Drosophila melanogaster: one gene and its partners. The protein of the gene in region 1 interacts with the protein of each later gene in a pairwise test. Each region holds a gene or a part of one and is shown in the gene's direction. Other genes may lie near its edges.

Region 1 (5,741 bases):
GAGACGACGAGCCAAAACTCGGAAACAACGAAATATCATCTACACACGCACATCATGGAATGGAAACACGGGGGTCGTTGGCGGTACACTTGAACTCAATTTTCCGAGGGAGGGCGATCTAGAAATGCCAGACGAATGCGAGTGGGTGGACTGGTTATTATTATAATTGTGGACCAGTGTCGAAATGTCGCTCTCTTCTGATCGGATGCGATGCTAACTATTCTGATCCCACGAACCGCTGAGCTCGGCGGCTGAGTCATGCTGCAGTTTGGCGCAATCCTACGAATTTATGAACTATAGTTTGGCTGGGGGTGGATCTAATCTAATGACTACGTCAACTGATACAATCAAAGCCAAAGTAAATATGTTTTTAATAGTTATCGTCGATGGCCAGGCGCTTTTATGCATAATCTTAATTAACGAAGCGAATCGGATTGATAAGAGATAAGCTTGTGATAGCCATGCAAATAGCCAATCTGAAACTCTATAAACGAAAATCGCCGAAGAACTGGGCAATAATAGAAAGTAGTTTTAATAATAAAGCAGGTGATTTCGCCATATCGCAAATATTGAAATGCATGTCCCTGGAAGTAGTTCCAGTTTCTCGCAGTGCATATTATTTGTCGAACAACAGGCATGAGCTTTTAACGCCTACAAGCTTTTTAATGAAACAAAAAAGCTAATGATATCCCAGCCAGCATTTATATGGATGAATATTCTTCAGGCGATTTGGTATCGCAAATCTTGTCAAATCATTTGATCAAATTAAATCATAAATAACTTAGAACTGTATTAATTTATTACATGATTAGTAAGTCCAATATAAAACGGATATGAAGTGATTGTTTTTGACCAATTTCTGTCAAAATCTGAGGGCTTGAGAATTCAAGTTTAGTTAGATTAGACAACCCTGGTTGGCTCAGGATTGATAAACTCAACATTTCCCTTCCTCAGATATGCGGCATATTGCTGATCGTATTCGGAGCTCTGCTGTTCAGCAAAGTCCGTAACATGGATGACTTCGCGGAAGCCCTGCGAACCCAGCAGGTGCCCGTAACGATGATCATCCTGGGCACCATCATCCTGCTGATTTCCTGGTTCGGCTGCTGCGGAGCCATTCGGGAATCCTACTGCATGTCCATGACGGTAGAGTACTGATCCTGCATCGTGCCATTCATCTTGCAATTCAAAATGTATTCTTTGTGGCAGTACTCGATCTTGCTGTTCGTCCTGATGATTGGCCAACTGGCTTTGGTGATCTACATGTGGGTGCAGAAGGACAAGTACCTGGAGATCATGGGCGACGTGGTCGAGAAGGCCTGGAACCATCGCACCAGTCGTTCCGACTACATGGACGCGATTCAGATCAGCGTAAGTATTTAGGGACTTCCAAGGACATGTGACCCGCCTTCAACTGACTTTCTGCCGCTCCCGCAGATGAAATGCTGCGGACGCAGTGGCTACACCGACTACGCCTACCAGGGCAAGTTCCCTCCCTCCTGCTGCAGCGACACCAACAACTGCCGCTGGGAGACCGTCTACCGGCGGGGATGCAAGGTCACCTTCGTTGAGTTCTGGGACAGGAACAGCGACATCATCAAGTATGCCGGTCTGGTCATCGCCGCCATCGAAGTAAGTTATTGTCCAGAGTAACGCAATCGAACGAAATCGATCATCGAATCTAGGTGCTTCCCCATGTGAATTTCGAAAATATGATGGATGGGTTCATGTTACCTACCTTCCATTGTGATTTCTTGGGGATAACCAAAAAGTACTAAGTAATGTAAATCATAATTCGTAGCAATGCAGTTTAGTTTGTTATTTTACCATAAGCGTTATGAGATTTACACCTACATGTATATCTTCCAATATACCATACTCTGTTTGCTTTCAGTTTGTGGGATTCGTTTTCGCCTGTTGCTTGGCGAACAGCATTCGGAACTATAGACGCCGTGCGGAATATTAATCGACAAAGGACTAAGGCCTTGCACTAATTTTAATTGAAACCGAAAGTACGAATTATGTTGCCCAATTTTACGAATATTTACCTGATACAGATGGCCATTCAAATTTGCATAATCTCAAGCGTAAGCAGCAAATGCAGCAAATCCAATGACGAATGCGTAACGATCACTTTTGTAAGATCGTTTGTTCAAAGTTACACTGAATGTGCTAATATGTTTAACTGTACAAAATAACTTATACTCCTGGAGATTGCAATAAACGGAGAAATTTATTTACAATTTACGAAAAGAGTTCAGTCTTTGTCTTAATGGGAAAGCTTACATTGTTTGCAATTCGACTTAATCCCTAAAGCACCTATTTTTCTAAATTGCCACGGGAGGATTTCGGCCATTCGCGATAACGTTTTAATCTGCAAAGTAATAAGTATAAATAGAGTTGGCCGAAACCAACAAGTACACTTTGATTACAGATCATTATCAATCATTGGCTCTATTGACATATTTCCGTAGAACTAACCTATCAGAAGACTATATTTAGTTAGTTAGCTTTTTAGGGCTCAGACGAAATCTTATCTCCATTGAGCTATTTTATCTATGAAGGGCACATAGCCGTTTTGTGAATGTCAATGGGAAATTATTCCGCCGTGGAAACCCCAATAGTTGCCAAAATCTTGTTGAAGTTAGGCTGGGAGTGCACTCGCTAAAAGGTTTATTGCTCGATTGATAGTACATAAATCTAGGCGATAAGATCGGGGACTCACGGGGAAACGGACTCCAAGCAACGTAATATGTGAGTCAGCGTGCACCGCGTACTCTTGACTGGTGATAAGGCAAGGTGTGGAGGGTGTGAATGATTCATCTTATGAACGATCTAACGCCCCCAAGATGGAATCGCACGAGGGCTAGATAAAATTCCGCCACCAGCAGTTTGCACCTACCATTCGTTGAATGAATCATTGCGCCAAGGATGTAATTTCCCAGGTTCGGACCACCACAATGATCTGGTATCTCGTGGGTGCAAAGCGATTCACCAAGTACAAGTACATGGGCATCGGAGCTTCCAGCACAAGTACATACGGAATTTTATGGCCGAGATAAGAGCGCAGCCGATAAGATGAGGACTCCGAGTAAGCTTTAATAGCCGCGTTCTGTCCGAGGGCCCATTCAGTTAGACGAACATCGTCACATCGAACGAACGGATTATCCAGCTAGCCAACGAGAAACCCGAACAGAACCCAGCACCATGAACTGTCTATCCGCGATGTTCAAGTACCTGCTGTACTTGCTCAACCTGGTGTTCGTGGCCGGTGGCATCCTGCTCATTGTGGTGGGCTCCATCATGCTCTCCACGATGGGCAACTTTACGGCCTTCGACGGAGGCGTTAACACCCAGACCATCCCGATCTGCATTATCGTCATCGGAAGTGTCACCTTCGTAGTGGCCTTCTTCGGATGCTGCGGCACCATTCGCGAGAACGCCTGCTGCACCACCATCGTAAGCACTCGGAAATCACCCACTGACCGAAATTGGATTCTAAATGACTTGGCATTCCTTTCAGTACGCCATCTGCATGCTGATTCTGTTCGGCCTGCAACTGGCCCTCTCCATCTGGATCTTCGCGGCCAACGACAAGTTCCTGTCCAGCATGGGCAAGGCAGTGGACAAGGCGTGGGATGAGAACAATGCCGCCCAGGGATACCCCATGGATGCCCTCCAGTTGGCCGTAAGTTTATCGAAATTCACCATCAGATGTCATTAGTTTTTTCCGGATATTTACGTATCTATTCCATTGCAGTTCTCTTGCTGTGGCAACACGGGATACCAACAGTATGAAACCGTGCCCAGCTCCTGCTGCGGCTACAAGGATCGCACCAAGGTGTGCGAAGCGGAGATCTACAGCCAGCGACCTGGCTGCCGGCAGGAGTTCGTCGATTTCTGGGCCTCCAATACGGACCTGATTCGATGGAGCAGTCTGATCATCGCCCTCTTCGAGCTGGGCATCTTCATCATGTCGTGCTGCCTGGCCAGCGCGATGAGGAAGCGCTAGAGCCGAAGTCAGATACAATCCTTAGACGTAGCCCAGTTCATAGCATAAATCCAACACACGAATTCCTCACTCACTCACTCACCGTAAATAAACCAGAATAGGTTAAGCCCAATGAAATATTATTGCTTATTCGCTGTCTACCTCTGGCTGCCGTCTATCTAATCAAGACAGGTTGATGTTTTTCCAAAAAGTATGTCCTTATCGGCCTGTTAGCCGAGTGCCGCGTTTCCGAGATCGAATGCCCTCAGTAGTGGTGAATCACCTCCATATGGCAATGGCTATCGATCTCCGCCCGCCGCCCAGTGCCCATTATCTATTTTTCGTTTCGGCCATGATTATGATAACAGGCACTTGCGTATCTTTCCTCCGATAGCGCCCGTGTCTGTTGGCCAATTTAAAAACAGTAGCCCATCTGGAGGAGCAGTCCAATCGAACGACAGTAAACGACGCGAGTGCGCGATAAAATCAGAGACACCGACAACTCCTTTGGATAAAACAATAGTGTTTATTTAATTCTACTAAATACAGGAGCAAACTATATACTTTCAAAATGGGTTGTCTATCGGGAATAGTCAACTTTATTTTATATATTGTCAATATCGTGTTTTTGGTAAGTGCTTGTCGGTTGAGTATCTAAGTAAAAGGAATTAATAATGTAATGAGACGTGTAACAATAGACCAAACACTACTGGGTGCAGATCCCAAATAGGTTCCAATTATGGATAACTTCATACTCTCCAATTACTTGTGTTATAATGAACTTCCAAAAAATGTCCATTAATTATGTTAATTTATTTATCAAACTGTAGATGTTTATTTATTTGCATATAAGACCTTCTAGCTGACTTCTGTCATTCATTAATCAAGTCATATGCAATAAATATTTGTGCAACAAATATCGAACATGTATTATTTAAAACAAGTGAAATGAAATTTGAAAATCCATAAATTACGCATCGGTCGCTTCCTTTCGATTGTCTTTGAGTCACAAGGTTTAACACTATTATTCATATAAATGTGCTGGCATAGATAATAATATCTATCTGTAATGCAAGTGTGGACGGACATACAGAATTTTATCAGTTGATTGACATTATCAGTGTTTTGTAATATAAGTAATGAGCCCAAAATGAGCTTCAAAGGGGGCACACATGCACACAAGTTCACATTTTAGCAAGGCTAAGTTGGAGTGAATAAAAGATCATTTAGAGAATAAACTAAGGAAATACAACAAACTATTATTTACAAATGATTTATTATTTATCCAAATAAATGTGTAGTTACTCGCAGTATTAACGCAGCTAAAAGATACATTTTTCACCTTAAGAATTATGCCAAAAACAAGATAAAGGTGATTAACGTTTGTTTTTTTTATCAGCTACGTTTTTAAACTAGCCATATCCGTCTGATTGTGAATTTCATTAATTTGTATGCAAGTATAAGACTTGATTATTCACTTTGTTAATCACTTTGTCAACTTAAAGAATCAAATGAAGAAATTTAAGTAAATCTTGGTCACCGACATCCTGAAGGCTATTTTAAAAGCTCATATCTTAGTCCAGTTTGCGGACAAGTTTTCAGTACATAGATATTCCCGGATAATTAGAAGTCCATAAAACATTCATTATAATGTGGTATGCTTATGACCATAAAACTGTTAGGCAACCAGAGATGCCTTCTAGTAATACTCCGAATACTTCCAGATCGTTGGCATCCTACTGATCGTGTT
Region 2 (6,151 bases), on another chromosome or scaffold:
AAGAAGTTCGCCTATGGAAACATGGACAGAGATGATCTGTGGGCCATGCTCACGCGCCATGGTCACGAACAGGGTACTCTGCCCAAGGATCTGAGTGTCAAGCAGATCATGGACTCGTGGATCACCCAGCCCGGTTATCCGGTAGTCAATGTGGAGCGCCGTGGTGCTGATCTCGTGCTGCGCCAGGAACGCTATCTGCTGCCCTCCAAGAACACTGCGGATCAGAGCACCTGGTTTATACCCATCACCTTCGAGACGGATGAGTTGCGCAAGGGCGACAACATACCCACCCACTGGATGAGAAGCGAGGACGAAGAGGAGCTCATCGTGGGCAATGTCTTCGCGCATAGCAGCAACAGCGATAACGTGATCTATCTGAATCTCAACCGGCAGGGTTACTATCGTGTCAACTACGATATGACCTCTTGGCTGGCGCTCAAGAAGAACTTTAGCACATTGCCCAGGATCACAAGGGCCCAGTTGCTGGATGATGCACTGCATCTGTCGCAAGCGGAATACCTTACCTACGACATACCGTAAGTTTGAGAAGTAAGACAAGTAAATGAAATTATTAACATAAAAATACGTTTGCCTTTAGATTGACCTTCCTCATGGAGCTGTTCGATGCTGTGGATGATGAGCTGCTGTGGATTGCCGCCAAACCTGGTCTCAACTATCTGATCTACAACCTGAAGAGGGAGCCTGCCTATGAGACTTTCAGGGTAGGGAATCCAGTAAAACTAGTAAATTTTAGAGTGTTTTATAATATATTTTGTTTAACCAGGCCTTCATGAAATTCATCGTACGTCCCGCCTTTGATCATTATGGCCTGCATGAGCCGGACAATGAGTCCCACTTGCAACTGAAGCACCGCGCCTTGGTGGCCTACTTTGCCTGCAAGTTCAACTACGATCGCTGCACCCAAAAGGCGCAGATGAAGTTCCGCGAGTGGATGCGTGATCCCAAAAACAATCCGTAAGCTTGTAACTGAAATACAATACAAAAACTTATTAAAAACGATGCAATCATAAATCAACAGCATTAAGCCAAACCTCAAGTCTGTGATCTACTGCACCTCCTTGGCGGAGGGCTCGTCACCGGAATGGTATTTCGCCTACAAACAGTACAAGACAACCACGAGTGCTTCCGAGAAGGAGGAGATACTGACCTCACTGGGCTGCACCACCAAACCCTGGCTGCTGTCCAAGTGAGTAACTACAACAGTTTGATCCATCAAAGACCAAAGACTGATGTGCAACAACTTTGTAGGTACCTCAACATGACCATCAATCCAACATCGGGCATACTAAAACAGGATGGCGCCTTGGCCTTCCGTGCTGTGGCCTCCAATGCCATTGGTCATGAGATAGCCTTTGATTTTCTGCAGGGCAACATAAAGGAGATTGTCGAATAGTAAGTGATACTTTGTGTGATAGGTTGAATGTATATATTAATTTAGTTATGTTCAATTGCACCATAGCTATGGCGATGGCTTCTCCACGCTGTCCGAGATGATCAAATCGCTGACCATCTACATGAACAAGGACTACCATAAGCACCAGCTTCTGGACTTGGCCGCTACCTGCCGCAAACTGGGACTCCATGCCGTGGAATCGGCCATCGAGTTGGCGCTGGAGCAGGTGAACAACAACATCTATTGGCGCAGCCACTCGTACCACAGCCTGAAGAACTTCCTTGAGGGGATCGTCAGCGAGTTCCAGATCAATATCTTTTAGGAGAACACATGGAAGTTGGAAATGGGGGAGAACTCAAATTGATTTCAACCAAAAAATGCGATTTAGTTATTGTAACTATTACCATTATTTGTATTCGTGCAAAGGCCTCAAATTAATTTAATCAAACGAATTATTTGCGAAAAGTGATATAAACGTGTAAGTTAGCCAGCATAATTTAGGTAAACGATTTACTTTTTGCAATTGTATATTTATTTATTTGTAAGTCTCGCTTCTTTTGCTTTGCGGCATTGCTCTGCAACGTTCCTACTAAAAAATAGAAAGCAATCGGAAAATGCATAGTTCGAATAACTCCCATTCATCACTTCAGGCAACAGTTTAAGTCCACAACACAATATCTGCCACGAAATATCTAAAGTTTAAAACCTGTATTATCTATATCTATATCTATACTTATGATTGTCAAGTACTTTGTGTTGTTCGCACACCTTTAGATCCTAAGTGAATCAATCTAGCACTAAGTGAACCAAAAATCTATTTTGTAGTCGATCCAATCAAGGGACTTAATGGTCCTGGAAGGAAACTGAGCATGGGAAGATAATGAAACTGAGTGTCCTTAGTACATGGTTTAAATTGTTTGCTAAAGCAAGAGTAGTACACAACACACAACACACAAGTAATATATTTATTCATGTACGCGTGTAACTATTATGTATTTTGTAAAGCCCAACACAAAAATACTTGTATTGCTGCTGCACAACCATGTAAATAAGTTTTAAAGCTTACACTAAACACTTAAATAAACTATGTATTTACGTAATTTTATTCAAAACTCTTCTTTAATTACTGCTTATAAACTTTGATTTATTTTGGGAGTTTTGAATTTGGCGGTTAAGAAGAAATTAAATCAACTGCTTATGCGGCCCTGAAATTCAGTATTTTCAACAGAATGGTCACACTTTATAAATATATGAATAAATTGCACTTGATGGCAACCCTAAACATTGGTTTTCAAGAATTTTCTGGGTTTCATAAAACGGTCTTACTATCAACTAAATTTTTGTAAACAAATATTAACACAGCTTGTATATTTGAAAAAGTAAGTATATAACGAAATTAGCAACAAAATAAGACAAATTAGGTTACCTAATAAATAGCAGACCTCATCTTTGACTTTTGTGGTATCAATCAGTCGAATACTTTGGTGTTTTCCTGACACCCGAGATACTAGGCTTTGTTTTGAAATCCCTAGTTCAAACTCAAACTTTATGCAATTTCATCTAGTGAGCAGAAGGAAATGGGACGCTTCCGAAGAGGACAGATTCATCGACATCTGGATCCACAACTTGCATCTGTTTGAGCCTGGCAAGAAACTGACAGAAACCTATGCGGAACTGGAGCCCTATTTTCGAGATGTTGGCGTAGAGATCAATGTTCAAGGCATAAAGTCGAAAATGGAATCCCTGAAGCGGAAGTATTTCAAGTCAGTACACAACTTTCAGATGAAGAATCGGTTTGATAATCTCTGGGATTTCAGTTTGTTACACTCCGACCAGGAAGACCAAGCTATCACCTGGAGGCACTTCGATGCGATGGCTTTGGTGGTGAGAGCATCTGCCAACGAGGGGAAGGATTCGGAATGGAAGGACTATACGCAGCCATCAAAGACGCCTCGTAAGAGTCCATTGAATTCCAACAAGGAAAATGTATCTAATCAAAGACTTCGAAATTTCAGATAAAACGCGCTCTTCTGTTTATATGAACAATCCCGCACAACGTATCAAATATGGTTCGAAATTCATAAAAGTTTAAATTGTATACATTCTAAGCGGTTTTCATTTCTTTATAGAGACACCATTCAAAACCGTCTTCGTGGATGAAAGTGCTGTGAACTATTTTGACGATGAGGAAATGCCCAACGCCAAAAGAGTTAGGAAAAGATTCGGCAAAACCAGCAATGTCAGAGTAAAGGCGCGAAGAGTTTGGCAGCCGGCGGAGGAATGCATATTCGTTGATGTGTGGGAAAAGTTCGCCAGTCACATACAGAGTGATAGGAAAAAAATGGATGTCTACAAGGATATGCATAATGAACTGCAGCTGCGTGGTGTTGGCATATTACCGGGCGATATCAAATCCAAAATTGAATCACTTATGCGCACGTTTAGGTAAGAACTTTATAAGCTTATTATGCTGTTATAATACATTACCAATAATTGCAGAGCACAGCGAGATTCGGTGGGAGATAAGTCCGAGTGGATTCATTATTCGAAGATTTTAAAGATCCAGACTCCTATTGATTTCACCAAGCTGGATGTATTTTCCGAGCACAGTAGCAGCTACGAAGACGATGCGTCCTGGTTCAAAGAATTGGAGCCGAAACCGGATCCCGATCCTATCAGCCATCCACCGAGCTCTAGCGATTCCGTTGTCAATCAGTTTGACAATAAAACTCAGCCGAGCTCTCCCGCGTGCAGTGAAGACTGTTTTTGGTCTGATACTGAACCTAGCCACTGCAAGGTGTCTATTGAAGTGTTGGACCAAGATGAATCGACAAAGCCGTTCGAATCTCCCTCCATTGAAAAGCATAAGGCTGCTGAAGAATTTAGTCAATTTGTAACAAAAGAGCTAGCCGTCTTGAATGATGATTTGCTAATCGAAGCAAAACGCCAAATATACAATATCATATGTGTCTTGCAGAAGAAACAGAATGAAGTAAATAAAAAAGCATAGTGACCAATTAAACGTATCTTTTTTCGTACTTGAAATTAAAAAAAAAATCAAAGGTTCTACCGAGATTTGAACTCGGATCGCTGGATTCAAAGTCCAGAGTGCTAACCATTACACCATAGAACCGCGTTGGCAGCCTGGCGCAAAACAAAACATTTACTGCCGCCAGATAACACGAAACAATTATCCTATTTTGGACACTAAAATTTTAAATAAACATTTATCCGTGATATTTATTTTTAAAGAAAAGTTTCTAAGCATCAAATCTTTATATGAAAAAAAAAAATAAAAATTAATTCGAGCAGGTTCTACCGAGATTTGAACTCGGATCGCTGGATTCAAAGTCCAGAGTGCTAACCATTACACCATAGAACCTTGATACGAGCCACGCTGCTAAATGACACTTTTGTGCTGCGGGCACACTTATCTTTGGTTCTTTGGTGTGTCAAGAAGGGGGTTGAAGATAAGGAAACGATAGTTGATTCAAAATAGAGTGTTTTAATTTGGTTCAATACGTTCAGTTAAGTATTTAGAACATTTTTAAAACAAGCTAAACCTTAAACTTACATTGGCATTTTAAGGGTATCGAATGAGCACAGATGTTTGTTGCCAAGCAAGCCGGTAAAAGTTTGTTTGATCGATATACACAATATTGAATTAAAACATCGAGCTGCTCCTTTATTTATTTGATATTGTAAAGCCGAAAAATGGAAAAGGAAAAAAAGAAATCTCTTTTGGAAAGATACAACATACCAATTCACTATTTGGACTTCGCCCACGTGGAAAAGTGCACAAATGCTCGCGAAATGGAGAAAATCGTCCAAATCCTGCGCTCCGGCGAGGAAGGACATTATCCGGACTTGCAACGCTGTGCGGAGGAAAAACTGAAGGCACTGAAACCGGATAGCAAGCTATTTCGCTATGAGGAACAGATAAAGCAAAGCACTGACCTGGACAAAACCGAACTAAAGCCCATTCTGGTAGGTTGTCTACTTCATTTCAAATAAATATTTATGGATTAACCTGTATTTATACCTTAGGATTGGACTGACGCCATAAAAACAAAGGACAATGCTCTCAATGAGCTGAAGAAAGTTAAGCAGAATTTGAATCTTCCATCTGTGCGTAAACTTTCGAAAATCGATTTGGAGAAGGAAAGTAAAACTGAAAAACCCAAGCCAGCGCCAAAGGCTACATCTCCGTCCAATACCAAGAATAAGGAGGCTCGAATCAAATCCACCGATTACAGAAAATGGGATAAGTACGATCCCGATGAGGAGATACTGCGCATGGATTTGAACGAGGAACGCGACCAGGAGCAAAGAGAGAAAATCATTTCCAATCACAGTAAATCGGTTACCACGGATAAGCTACAGAGCGAAAGAGATTCTCTATATGAACGCCTCCAAGCACAGCTAAAGAACCTAAGCCAGCTGGAGAAGGAGCAATTTGCTGAAAGGTAGATATATCTTAATGCTTTATTATATGTTTTATATATTTTTGTTGTTGTTAAAGACATCGACTGCGTGGCAATGAGAGCTTCAAGGCAAAGGAATATGAAAATGCCATTGAGGAGTACAACTGTTCAATAATATACGATCCGGAGAATGCAGTACACGCTTACAATAATCGCGCTGTCGCTCGTAAGTAATCATATTAATAATAAAACTCTTTATCAATTTATTGTTCGATTCATTCGCAGATCTCAAGTTGAAGAAATACTTTTCGGC
Region 3 (5,647 bases), about 15 Mb from region 1:
GAATAAGCAGACTAAGAGGGGAATCTATTAAATTCTCCAGTGAGATATCCGCTGAATCGAACGACTTATGGCCATGGCGCACACTGTTGGCCAACAGCACATTGTTGACTTGCCGTAAAAACACCAGATGGAATGCACGTGAAAACATCAAGAGCGATGCAATTTCGCAAATTGTCTTCAACTGTGCGAATGCATTTCATTCCATTTTTGCTCCTGCCGCCATTGCTGCTTAGGCACCATTCCTCCCACTCCCACTCGGCCTCCTCCTACGGCTGTTTAAGACCTCCATCCCACTCAGATGGAGGACCATGATGGATGGCAGAGGATGCTGCAGAGAAAACTGTGCCGCAGAATTCATACAGTTATGCAGGACGAGCTGTGTACCGGGGCCGTGCGAAATTAGTCGCTTTATGTGCAGGTTGAGGTCAGCAATTAACGCTCAGAAACCGGAGCACGATGTACCAAGTGCAAGACGACGCAGAAATGTGCCATCTTCAAGTGCTCTAGAGGATGTGGATGCGGAAGGCCGGGCGGATTGGGGTGGTTCGAAGCTATTCTTGTTTTACTGCCGGAATACGTACAATGTACTGCTGGCATATAAGAACTTACGCACCCGCATTTAGGCTAGGACTGACTGGCTGCCTTGGCCAAAAGTAATTTCGCCCAAAATGCTCTTATTGGCATAAAATATATGGCATTAACACAAACGAACGCAAAAACTAAAGCAAGGGCTGTCCCCATAACCGGGAAACTTGGTTAATTGCATTAGGCGCTAGGGTATTCCATTACCGACCTTCACTCGGGCACATCTGCTCCAGCTGCGGGAGTTCCTTTGGGAAAAAGTTGATGGGGCAGTGAAGGAGTTCGCATGCTCATGTGCATATCAAACTTTCCACTTTAAGACTGTTTAACCGAGTCAAAAAGTTCAGTTTGGAATTGAATCGAGTCTTTAACACCGCGCTGTAACTTACTTTCAAGAAAGTTATGTTTAGTTCAATAAAAGGTAATTATTGAACATCCTGCAGGATATTAATTGTTTATTTCTCACTTTAAATTAATCTGCTAACAAATGATTGAGAATGTTTTGTTCCAAATGCAGTACTTAAATATAAATCGCTTTTAGTTCCGATTTAAATCAATTATTCCGGCCTTTGTTGCTGATAAAATGAAATTGAAAACCATAAACTAGCTTCCAGTCATAATGTTTTTCTCTTTTATTTCATTACTGGCATTGACAGATTACATTTGTTTTCCTACTCCGGATTACATACACATAATTTCTCGTGTGTTGTAATTTATTGGTAATTTAATCCTTTCGTACTTTTAGCATTTTCGTAGGCACTTATTGAAACACCTTTGGGATACAGCTCTTTTGAGTGCCAGAAACTGGGGTTGTCTGAAGATTGTCCTTTTTCAATACCGAAGGCATTGTGTTTGAGGCTCTTCTCTGAGTCCACATGAGATGACCTCTTCCAAACGAAAAGCTCAGCGAGTGGTTTTAAGATCAAGAAGTATAGGATCTCGGCCAGGGAGATGACACTAAAGCCCATGAACAGACCCATTACACCACCGACGTTTGCTGAAATGATAGAACTAGTCACTAAATCTAATGGATTGAATAAATTGAGCCCATTGAGCTAATGACTAATTTAACAGATCCCTATGTTCCTGTAACTTGAAAATAGTATTTACTCACACAAGAACTCTGTCAATCCCACGTATGCATTCTTGGTGTTTCCATAGTAGACCGACTCCCGGAAATAAACGTTTATCACGGCAATATTCTTGCTGAGATAGGACTTGTTGAAGCTCTCCACCAGCGCGTTGGCCAGCTGGAAGTTGTTGGAGGCCAGCGGGAAGGAGAAGCCACTGGCCAAGTAGTTGAGATCGAAGCAACTGGGCAGGCACTGCTGGCGGCACTTGGCCCAACCAGGTCGATTGGACGCCCTCTGTGCCCGTCGCACACAGGACGTGTCCCCCATGGAGCAGATGCTGGCGTTGCTGTAGATGAGCGGATGGTCGAACGGAATGCAGGAGCAGGTGTCGTAGAGGAATGCGGCCAGGCACTCGTTCTCGCAGTTGAGTCGCGTATAGATACGATAAAAGATCAGCTCCTTCTCGTTCTTGAACAGGCACTGCCGGCCATCGCGGGATATAGATCGAATGGCCGGAACCGCCTCGGCACGAACCATCTCAATTCGATAGTTGGTTTCGTAGCCAATGGCTGAGATGAGGCCCGCCTCCTTCACCTTGGGAACTTCGATGGGATTGTGAAAGTAAACCTGGAAATGGCGGGTATGATGGGTAAAGGCAGTATGTATATTAAAGGCTTACTTTAAAACCAGGTCCATTGGTCGAAGAGCAATAGTATTCGCCCATCTCAGCATCAAGTACGGCAGTAAATCCCAAGGTGATACCAGTGCCTATAGTACATATTTGAAATACTCTATTCATTAACGATTCTCTGATATTTTACCACTAGCGGTGGCTGGATAGAACTTGGGGGGCAATTGTTCCGGATATCCTGACTCCGGATCCCACATAACACTTTCAAACCCATCAGAGTTCGTCAAGTTCCGGTTGTTATTTGCACTGTCAAAACAATAAATCAATTATTTTAATTTAATGAACCCATCTAGTTACAATGGCTTGTAGAGATATTCCGGTGGTTGAAAATTGAAGACGCAACACAGGCCCTCATCCGTCAGGATCTGCTGAAACAGTTGCGAACAGTTTCGCTCCACGGCACTGAATCTACAAAAAAGCAACATTCTCTCGCAGGACTGCGAGTGATTTGAAACAAATTCGGATATCTTCAGGTTGTTCGTGACAAAATTCGAAGCGGAGAACTCCTCATCAGCCTCACTGGATTCCCAGCTATCCGATTCACATAATAGCTTCAGAAGGGCACTTTCATTGGAGCCCCTGGAACATAATTTAATTTCAAAATGATGGATGGACGATTGCCTTAGAGGAAAACCGAACTTACTCTCTGTAATTGGCTACCAGACTCCTCTGCACCTGGTTCATATTGCATATGGTTATTGCCGGAAAAGGAACCTTCAAAATGGAGGTGGCCTGTGGGCTGATGCCGATTATAACCGGCGTGCTATCCCACTTCACATAGATGTTCGATATGAGGTGCACCGTGATGATGAGGGCGGTGACAAAGGAGCCAAGGAAAAACGATCTAAAAAGGGTTTTGCAAATGTAGCTCAAAATCCGCACTTGGATGTGCTCCTTTCCCACCTCTCCCAGCTACTCAGGCCGGAATCGCCCACAAACTTGAGTCCATGCAGACTAGTCTGGTTGAGGAACTGCCGCAGACTCCTGACGAAGCTCTTCAGCAGAAATAACGAGGATCCCTGCCTTTCCGTTCCGGCTGACGGCGACGGTTCCATAGCGAACTGTTTACTTAATGACCCTTGACACCTGCATAAATACTTGATATCGCAAGCAATCAGGTGTCGGCACACTTATTAAAGAGGCATGTAATTAAGGTTTTACCCCGATTACGGCGGCATTCGAAGGAGTGAATCCTTTCAAGTTAATTAAATTCTCAATGCTGGCTTGCCGTTGGCGTTTAAATGTATATGTATGTATTCATGGCACACGCCATCAAGCATACGACGTGTGGCCCGTCTTGATAACATGTATAAGTGCATGGCCGCAGTTTTACACCACCCCGCGCTTGATATCAAACTTTAATTCGGTTAGCTTTGGAGTTTATCAAATTATATTGAACTCGGGTTCAATGAATCACATTCAATCATACTGAACGCAAACTTTTCGCCGCAAAAACATAGAAAGCGAGCTTTTTACCGGCGACCCATTAGCTTTGGCCTCGAAAGCTTGATAAAATAAAGCTCAACCGCACGTGATGTTACAGCAACCGGTTATCAAGTTAGTTCTCTTTCTGACATATCGGAGATCGGTGCCTATTTATTTACCTTAGTAGCACAGATCATGAGAATCCGGAGCAACCCAATGCCCAGCCGGATGGTGGACATCTTGTGCTTCCTCATCATTGCGGTCTTTCTCCCGGTGGTGTTTATGTTCGAGATTGTGGTGGTGCTGCCTGCCTTCCATGAACCGGGTGGCTTCTTCCACACCTTCACCTTTCTTATGGCCATGTTCCTGGTGTTTAACATCAAGGGAAACATGATTGCCTGCATGATGATTGACACAAGTGTAAATGGTAAGTCGCAGCAGGTCTTATAATAAATCCGATAAAATGCATATCCCATTTCCAGTGAAAAAGGTGGAACCACCATCGGATCAGTTGAATTGGCGTGAGTGCGGCGAGTGCCAGAAGCTAGCACCACCCAGATCTTGGCATTGCAAGGCCTGCAAAGTGTGCATTCTGAAGCGGGATCACCACTGTATCTACACCGGCTGCTGCATTGGACTCAGAAACCATCGCTTCTTCATGGGCTTTATATTCTATCTCTTCGTGGGATCAGTTTACGCACTGGTGTACAACTCCATATACATGTGGGTCATCCACGGCCACATCTACAGCAACTGGGTGACGGTGTTAAAACTCGCCTGCCCCATGTTACACCTGGTAACGGGCAGTTTTTGGACCAACATGTACCTGGTCTTCTACAGCTTAAATATTTTAGCTCTGGCTTATGGAGTCCTCCTCCTGGCCTACCATGTGCCCATTGTTTTAAGGGGCGGTGTTTCCGCCGATCGCACTAAGGAGAGCAAAGAAAAGTACGACAGAGGAGTGTATCAAAATCTAAGGAGCGTTTTTGGAAACCGCATGCATTTAGCGTGGCTGTCCCCACTGATTCGCAGCGATCTGCCGGAAGACGGATACCACTGGAATGTCCCTACGAACAAACAAGACTAAGACTGATTAGGATCTAGGATAAATATCTGCTGTGCAGTTCCTACCTGGGGATCCCGTAAATGACTACTGTGACTTTGGCAACCTCTGGCTGGTTAAATGTTAGTCTTAAGATAGTGAAGTTGTAACCAATACCGCCGGACAGAACGGACGCCTGGCCTTTCCATTCCATTTCACTTTCATCGATGACCAATATCATGTTTATATGAAAGCACATGCTACCCTGTACAAAAATACCTAAGAGATCTTCCACTTTATTTAAAGTAATATATTTAAAATACCTTTTGTGTGTACTTCACGTCTACGAAATCCACAAATTCAGTGGTGAATATTTCAGTCTCATATATGGGAACAGCTAGAAAGTGCAGCATGCCAAATTGTACGGAGTGGCATGCAACTTCTGCATAAGCAAGTATTGCCAGCAGCAACAGACCACACGTATTGGCCATTTCTAAAAACTAAACCCATCATTCTTTGTTACCACACCTGCGCGGCCAATTGTCCCCGTCTATAACTGATTTGATGACTAGACAAGCAAACATAGATTGATAACAAAAATAATATTTTTTATTGATCTATCAAAGCTTTCTTTGATGGACCCGCCTCCACTCTCCGTATAACCGACTTGCACTCCTCGTTGCGGAAGACCCGATGGTAGGAGGTTATCTTGCCCAGAGACGAAACGAAATTCTCGTCGTGAGTGATGATGATGAGCATAAAGTTGGACTGGCTTTGGCGCTCCTCCACGATGCAATTCAGGGCTTCACATAGCGAGTTTATATTGGCGCGATC
Region 4 (6,414 bases), on another chromosome or scaffold:
GAGTCCTGCTCAACGATGGTCCTGTCGAAGTCGATGGCGACTAGGGTGCGCGGTCCAGGCGAACTGGATGCGCTCAGACCGCGTCCGAAGGGCGAAAGGCAACGGCTCAACCGGAGGCTTCTCGAAATTGCAAACATTTTGGTGTGGAAAACAAACAATTTGACTTTAATATCAATGCACACACTCGTTTAAACAGTACAGTAGATATGGGTGAACAAAGCACATCAATATCGATAAGGTAGCGCCAATATCCGAAGGTGCACGAAGTCCCATGGAAGCTGGGGGGGATCTTCGTTCCATCGACCATGCGACCGACGTGTCCGTTTGGCCGACAATGTTGTAATTATAATATAATGTGTGTATTATATGTATGTATATCGCATAAGTTTTAGATATTGTCATTGAAAAATGTTGTTTCGTTTTCCGTTGCATAAAATATTTTCCAAAAAGGTTTAAATATCTAAAATACATTCATAGTTTGTGTGTGTGTGTGTGTGTTGGTAACATGCAAAAAGCTATGCAAATGCATATGGAACAGCAAAGATCAATATACATACTTGTATGGCTTCCAACAAATATGGGTGCACTATATCGCACGTACATAAGTAAGTGTATAATTTAGCTACATGGGCGAATTCATTGGCTAACTATATAAAATGAAACAATATACCATATACCACTACTGGAAACAATCAACGTATCTCTTTCAGCTTTTGGGGATTCACATATCAATGTTGCGATCGGATGAGATACTCTGTGATTATTTCTTATTCTTAAGAATTGAGTAAATATTTACTGACTGACCAAATGGAATCCGAAGTTAGTTTGTGATTAAATTACGTTTGCTTCGCGCGGAAGTTTTGATATTGTAAACCTGGCAATCAGTTTATATCCGATACGAGATCGGATTCCCAAGAGGGAACTAACTAAGCTAACTGCTTGCGTTTCAAAAATCTCAGCTTGGTGGAGGAGCTATTCAGCAATGGGACCAATTAACTTATGTTTCAACAGCGTAACCGAAGCCCAACTTCTCCAATGACCCATAGAAACATAACTTAATGCCCATATATGTATATATGTAGGACATCAATGTTGGCCAGCACTGATAAGCACTGATCAATCAATCCAAGCCTCCATTGCTTTTTGTTTAGGTGGGCGATTGCCGTTCTTTGCCAGCCGACAAGGGAGTCCAATTGTCCCGTCTCTGATGATGCCATCTCGCTCTATTTCCAGCACGCTGCACCTAAACCGTGGTCTGCACGTTCTGCACGGCCTTCGAGAGCTCCACCTTGGAAGGTATCAGATAAAATGCAGGCGTCATCGTCTCCCCGCACGGACACTTGCAGGCTGCAATAAATTAGGAGGAATGAGTGGGGGGCGGGATTATCGGCTGGTGGAGCAGCATAGCCAACCGTTGATCCAGCTAAAGTTTCCCAATTTCTGCTCGCACTTGGGACAGTACAGGCGGCCCTGGGTGTTCAGCATGATGCGGTGCATCCAGGCGATGGGCTCCACAAACAGTATGCTGCGGCAATAGTTTGGCGTGCTTTCGTGGCCGGGTGAACCGAGTGATGACTGGCGGATGCGCTCGGACAGCTGCTCCAGCATGCGAGCACCATGATGATTTTCGGCCTGATCATGTGACTGAGCCGGCAGCTTAGCTGCAGCGACTTCTTCTTTCTCCTTGGGTACCACCTCCTGCGGCGGCCTGTCACGCGGCTTGTGCTCCAGTACATGCGACTTGGAGGCGAGGACGCGGCGGCAACGACGACAGCGGAACACTATGGGCTCCGGGTTCTCGCGCGTTATATCTGGATCCGGACGGACCACGCTGTGGAAGCTTTGCGGCAGGATCTTGGCCTTGCGCATCTGCTCGCCAGCCAGGCGCAGGCGATGGATCTTGTAGCGCTGGCAGTTGGGGTCAATCTTGCAGCCCATGCGCCGGAAGAGCTTTAGTTGGCTGACAAAGCCAGCGTTTGGCTGGACGAAGCGCCGTTTGGCCTTGACCAGCTCGTAGGCGGGCAGGAAGTCCAGATTGTGTCGCTTCATCATGTAAGCGATCACAGTGGATGAGCTGCGACTGACGCCGAAGTAGCTGTTGGAAGGCACAAAGAGTCAGTGGCCAAATCGTGGGCCGGTCAGCCTAGGTAAGATGCTCACCAGTGCACAAGGACATTGCCCTGCTGGGCCAGGGCCGAGCTGATAAAGTCAACGCAGCCCTCCAGATGCTGCAGAATATCTTCGCGCGGCATGTCGGCAACTGAAACAGGGATTAACGCCAGTGAAGTTGTTGCACATTCACGAAGCTACCGATCTGTGTGCTTACTCTGTATATATTTGGTGGTCAGAAAGCTGGCCTCCAGAATGTGCTGCGGCAGCGGGACCGAATCCAGCGTGAGGATGTGGGTGATCTTGAAGGAGCGCAGCGTCTCCATGTGCGTCGCCGCGGTCAGGTTGCCTGGTGGTGTAAGGAAGGGTTGAGAAATGCATCGATCACAAGGATTAGAGCTATATGCTTACCTAGAAACAGGCCTGTGTCCACCTCGTCGATGCTGACCGGTCCGCCGTCGAAGTCCTCGCGCGTCAGCACCCCGGAGTCCTGGGCCTTGCCACCCCCCGCGGAGGACGAAGGCCACGCCTGCCGTTGAGACTGAGACTGTTCCATGGCCAGGCAACAGATACCAGCTGGAGGCAGAGGAAGAAGAAGAGCGAGGACAGGACCTAGCGTGGAAATGGAAGTGCTAGTAGTGTGACCGCGGCTGCATTGCGCGGTAACCGATTTGTGGGAAAGCTCGCTTCCAGGCTATCGATAACTTGCCATCGACCGCGGCGCATCTCTATTGCCGGCGAGTATAGCAATTTTATAGGAGCAATAAAAAGGATCGGATTAGCCGAGATTAAGTGATAAGATGACCACGTTGCGACCCTTCACCTGCGACGACCTCTTTAAGTTCAACAATGTGTGAGTACAGTGGATATCCACATGCGCATATCCGAGGCTAATACCAATACCGCCGTGTGCTCCGCCAGAAACTTTGACCCACTTACGGAGACCTACGGGCTGTCCTTCTACACCCAGTACCTGGCCAAGTGGCCGGAGTACTTTCAGCTTGCGGAGTCGCCCAGCGGACAAATAATGGGCTACAGTAAGTACTGCATTTCACTGTGTGCACGAGTTCCCCTATCAAGTGTGCTCTACATTCTCTAGTCATGGGCAAGGTGGAGGGACACCTGGACAACTGGCACGGACACGTGACTGCGCTGACCGTCTCGCCCGACTACCGGCGCCTTGGTCTGGCTGCGCTGCTCATGAGTTTCCTGGAGGACATTTCGGAGAAGTAATTCCAGCCCCAATTCGTTGGATATCAATACAGACTAAACGACTACTTTTTCTCGCCCCCAGAAAGCGAGCATACTTTGTGGATCTTTTTGTGAGGAAGAGCAACCAGGTGGCAATAAACATGTACACGAACCTTGGCTACATCATATACCGCACCATACTTGAGTACTACTCCGGCGACCAGGACGAGGATGCGTACGGTGAGAGCGCACAGAATTTGCATTGACTTCTAAGAGGCGCCTAACAATCGATGCTTTACCCACTTTGCAGACATGAGAAAGGCCTTATCCAGGGACGTCAACAAAAAGTCGGTCATACCGTACACGCAGCCTGTACGACTGGAACATATAGATATGAATTGATACGATATCAACCCAGTAGCGCCCGAAAACGCATTTATGTCTAACTAATCCCGATCCACCATTTGAAATGGGCGCGAGCGCATCACTTCGCAGCCCATTGAATTCTAGTTAATTTAGCAATGTAAATAACCCATAATCCCGTGATCTGCCCGGTGATAACATGCGATTCGATTATGACCGGATTCCCATCCCGCTTGCGAACCAATCCCCCGGCGCCAGTATTTGCGTGCATTATTTCCCAACCGAAACTAAGCCTGTAATTAAGTTACATGACCGCTCCGTTACCAAATTCAGCACAAATTCTCGATAATTCTATTGACTTTGAAATTATTTAAAGATTTCGTAAGCCGATGCGTAAATAACCACAAACACAAAGATTGTTCCACAGTTCTGAAGGTAAATAACGTAAGCAACTTGATTACTTCATCATCGTAAATGACAACCAGTATCTAACGCCAACGCTATGACCACCCATCTAGCCCGCACACGATCCTCTGACCATATCCAGTTTTTTTTTTGCAGATCACAATGCGCGAGCTGCGCAGACAAATGCGACACGATCACTAAGTGGAACGATTCGCGGCGGATGTGGGCATAGCCACAGCCATCGCCATCGCCATCGCCATGTGCTTTATCGACCGATTCCCATTTACTAATGTGCTGCTGCATAGAAAACCATTTTGAGAATAAAAAGAAAATAAACCCCCTGGCATATAAAGTTCAATCTGTATTTGATTGATTGATTGGAGGAAAGCTGACTTTCAACACACCTTATAATAATGTCCTTGTGGTGATGTCCTTTTTTTTAGTGCTAGCAGAAGGATAGAAAAGTTTTCGGGTTTATAATAAATACCCTGTATTATATGGGTAGCTTCCTAGCTCGACTCAGCAGCTCCTGCGCATTTGTTACCCCATTTGGGAACTGGGATTGTTGATTGATTGATTGTGCCAAAATACTGAGTGACCTTTTAAGTCCTGGCAACCACTGTTTGATCAATAGCTGGTTGGGTGTTTAGTTCGGTATCTGATTGATGGCCCATTCAGTGCGCAAAAAATGGCGAAGAAGGGAGGAGTCCAGCAGCTTCAGGCCGACCTCGCCTCGGATGAGGAGTTCGAGAAGTTCCTGCAGCGATCCGGATTGCTGGGTACGTTCTCGATGCGATGGTTAGCCATTAGTCCACCCAGTAATCTCGCTCTAATCCCTGAGTGCTTCAGTGCTCGATATATACTCCGAATGGTGCGGTCCCTGCCTCGGCATGGTGGGTAGCCTGCGGAAGATCAAGCTCGAGCTAGGAGGCGACAACCTGCAGTTGGCCATCGTAAGATCACACAGTCGGAAGCACCGAGGCGTAGCGCACTAACATCCCCATCTTTTCCAATATATGCCAGTGCAAGGCGGGCTCCATATCCTATCTGAAGCGATTCAACAAGAAGAGCGAGCCCACGTGGATGTTTGTCACGGTGAGTGATCCCATGGGAACATAATGCCAGGTGAATATGTATTGTCTTTCCTCTATGTTTATGTTTATGGACCATTAGAGCGGCAAGGCCATCAATATCATGTTCGGCACGGATGTGCCCAAGCTGGTGGCCATGATCACCCGAATGCTGCAGTCGACGATGGCCAAGGAAACGCACCTGAGCTACGAGATCACCGAGCTCCAGCCGATCGAGCTGGAGCAGCTGGAGGTGCGCAACAAGGCGCTGCGCCTGGCCGAGGAGATCGAGCTGGCGGAGAGCCGTCGGAAGCGGCTGGAGTACCTTCACAGCGTCACCGACTGCATCATGGCCAACCTGCCGGACATCGGGATCACGGTCTTCGGGCCACAGGTTAATCGCGACATGTTCAAGAAACTCTCGGAGCCGGCTGATCCGCTCAAGATTCAGTGCAAGGACCGCAAGGTATTTACCATTCTGCCTAGCGACATCGCCACCGTCAACTTTGCTGCGGAGAATCCACTGTCACCGGAGGTTATCGAGCAGCTCTACGACAAGGAGCTGCTGATGTGCTTCTGGAAGGTGGACGAGGTGCTCGGCACGCCACCGACCGTGCTCCGCCAATATGCCCACGAGCTGACCAAGGAGACCATTAAGCCGCCGGACGAGTTCAACGAGGAGGAGATCACCGTGCCGCCCATGATTGTGCCGCTGGAGGTGACCGTGGAGATATCTGATCCAGGTGAGACGCCTGTCATCCTTGCTAACTTGATCTATTCACGAGTTTTACTCTATTTACTCTCTGGTTAGAGCCATCAACGGAGAATAGTCAGGTGCAGCCGGACGCAGTGCATCTGGCCGAGATTAGGAGCGAAAATGTAGCGGAGGCTGAGGAAGAGACGGAGACAGAGGCGGAGGCAGGTGCGGCACCAGAGGCCAAAACTGCTCCGGTTGCAGCTAAGAGAACCAAGACTATTCGGATACCGCCGATTTGGGTGCCCAGTGACCAGCGCACCCATGCAGCGCTAATCTACACGTACTTCCGTGCCCAGACCACGACCTTCCTTCCGCCGGATCCCGTGCCGGAGCCACCGCACATCGTGATGATCTTCGACGCCTACAAGAAGAAGGATCTCGCTATTCTGCTCGAGACGTGTCGCGAGGACATTCCGCTCTATGGCTTCTTTAACGGTGACAATCCGCTGACGGCGCAATTTATAGCAAACTCCGTGGAGAAGTACAATGCCAAGCCGTATGTTCCGTAAGTGCTGCCAA

Evidence for each region.
Region 2: the proteins of CG30160 (region 1) and CG14252 interact in a two-hybrid assay, tested with the Drosophila melanogaster proteins (one large-scale study listed by BioGRID).
Region 3: the proteins of CG30160 (region 1) and CG10344 interact in a two-hybrid assay, tested with the Drosophila melanogaster proteins (one large-scale study listed by BioGRID).
Region 4: the proteins of CG30160 (region 1) and Naa20A interact in a two-hybrid assay, tested with the Drosophila melanogaster proteins (one large-scale study listed by BioGRID).

What each region holds. Positions count from the first base shown.
Region 1 is NT_033778.4:7,002,011-7,007,751, forward strand, and holds CG30160 (uncharacterized protein), read left to right. Parts: upstream 1-3,146; 5' UTR 3,147-3,207; coding exon 3,208-3,459; intron 3,460-3,523; coding exon 3,524-3,688; intron 3,689-3,760; coding exon 3,761-4,012; 3' UTR 4,013-4,126; downstream 4,127-5,741. Other genes in the region: Tsp42Ea (tetraspanin 42Ea), read left to right, coding at 955-1,146, 1,210-1,371, 1,438-1,632, 1,895-1,966; Tsp42Ec (tetraspanin 42Ec), read left to right, coding at 4,563-4,622, 5,716-5,741.
Region 2 is NT_033777.3:26,942,788-26,948,938, forward strand, and holds CG14252 (uncharacterized protein), read left to right. Parts: upstream 1-2,746; 5' UTR 2,747-2,792; coding exon 2,793-2,793; intron 2,794-2,978; coding exon 2,979-3,177; intron 3,178-3,231; coding exon 3,232-3,368; intron 3,369-3,429; coding exon 3,430-3,483; intron 3,484-3,543; coding exon 3,544-3,859; intron 3,860-3,913; coding exon 3,914-4,424; 3' UTR 4,425-4,461; downstream 4,462-6,151. Other genes in the region: CG46339 (uncharacterized protein), read left to right, coding at 1-536, 599-722, 785-975, 1,040-1,207, 1,270-1,413, 1,481-1,736; Spag1 axonemal dynein assembly factor, read left to right, coding at 5,129-5,401, 5,462-5,880, 5,937-6,064, 6,124-6,151.
Region 3 is NT_033778.4:22,425,233-22,430,879, reverse strand, and holds CG10344 (uncharacterized protein), read left to right. Parts: upstream 1-3,902; 5' UTR 3,903-3,966; coding exon 3,967-4,198; intron 4,199-4,253; coding exon 4,254-4,858; 3' UTR 4,859-4,898; coding exon of another isoform or gene 4,899-5,078; 3' UTR 5,079-5,136; downstream 5,137-5,647. Other genes in the region: ppk12 (pickpocket 12), read right to left, coding at 1,296-1,579, 1,697-2,282, 2,335-2,423, 2,477-2,592, 2,644-2,925, 2,990-3,190, 3,250-3,401; CG46442 (uncharacterized protein), read right to left, coding at 4,899-5,078, 5,137-5,304; rad50, read right to left, coding at 5,423-5,647.
Region 4 is NC_004354.4:19,619,461-19,625,874, reverse strand, and holds Naa20A (N(alpha)-acetyltransferase 20 A), read left to right. Parts: upstream 1-2,800; 5' UTR 2,801-2,909; coding exon 2,910-2,962; intron 2,963-3,030; coding exon 3,031-3,146; intron 3,147-3,208; coding exon 3,209-3,338; intron 3,339-3,403; coding exon 3,404-3,540; intron 3,541-3,610; coding exon 3,611-3,672; coding exon of another isoform or gene 3,673-3,702; exon of another isoform or gene 3,703-4,107; intron 4,108-4,210; exon of another isoform or gene 4,211-4,224; coding exon 4,225-4,269; 3' UTR 4,270-4,424; downstream 4,425-6,414. Other genes in the region: CG14212 (uncharacterized protein), read right to left, coding at 1-137; MKP-4 (MAPK phosphatase 4), read right to left, coding at 1,244-1,347, 1,413-2,095, 2,161-2,260, 2,327-2,458, 2,521-2,665; CG14221 (uncharacterized protein), read left to right, coding at 4,757-4,847, 4,918-5,021, 5,092-5,163, 5,242-5,881, 5,950-6,400.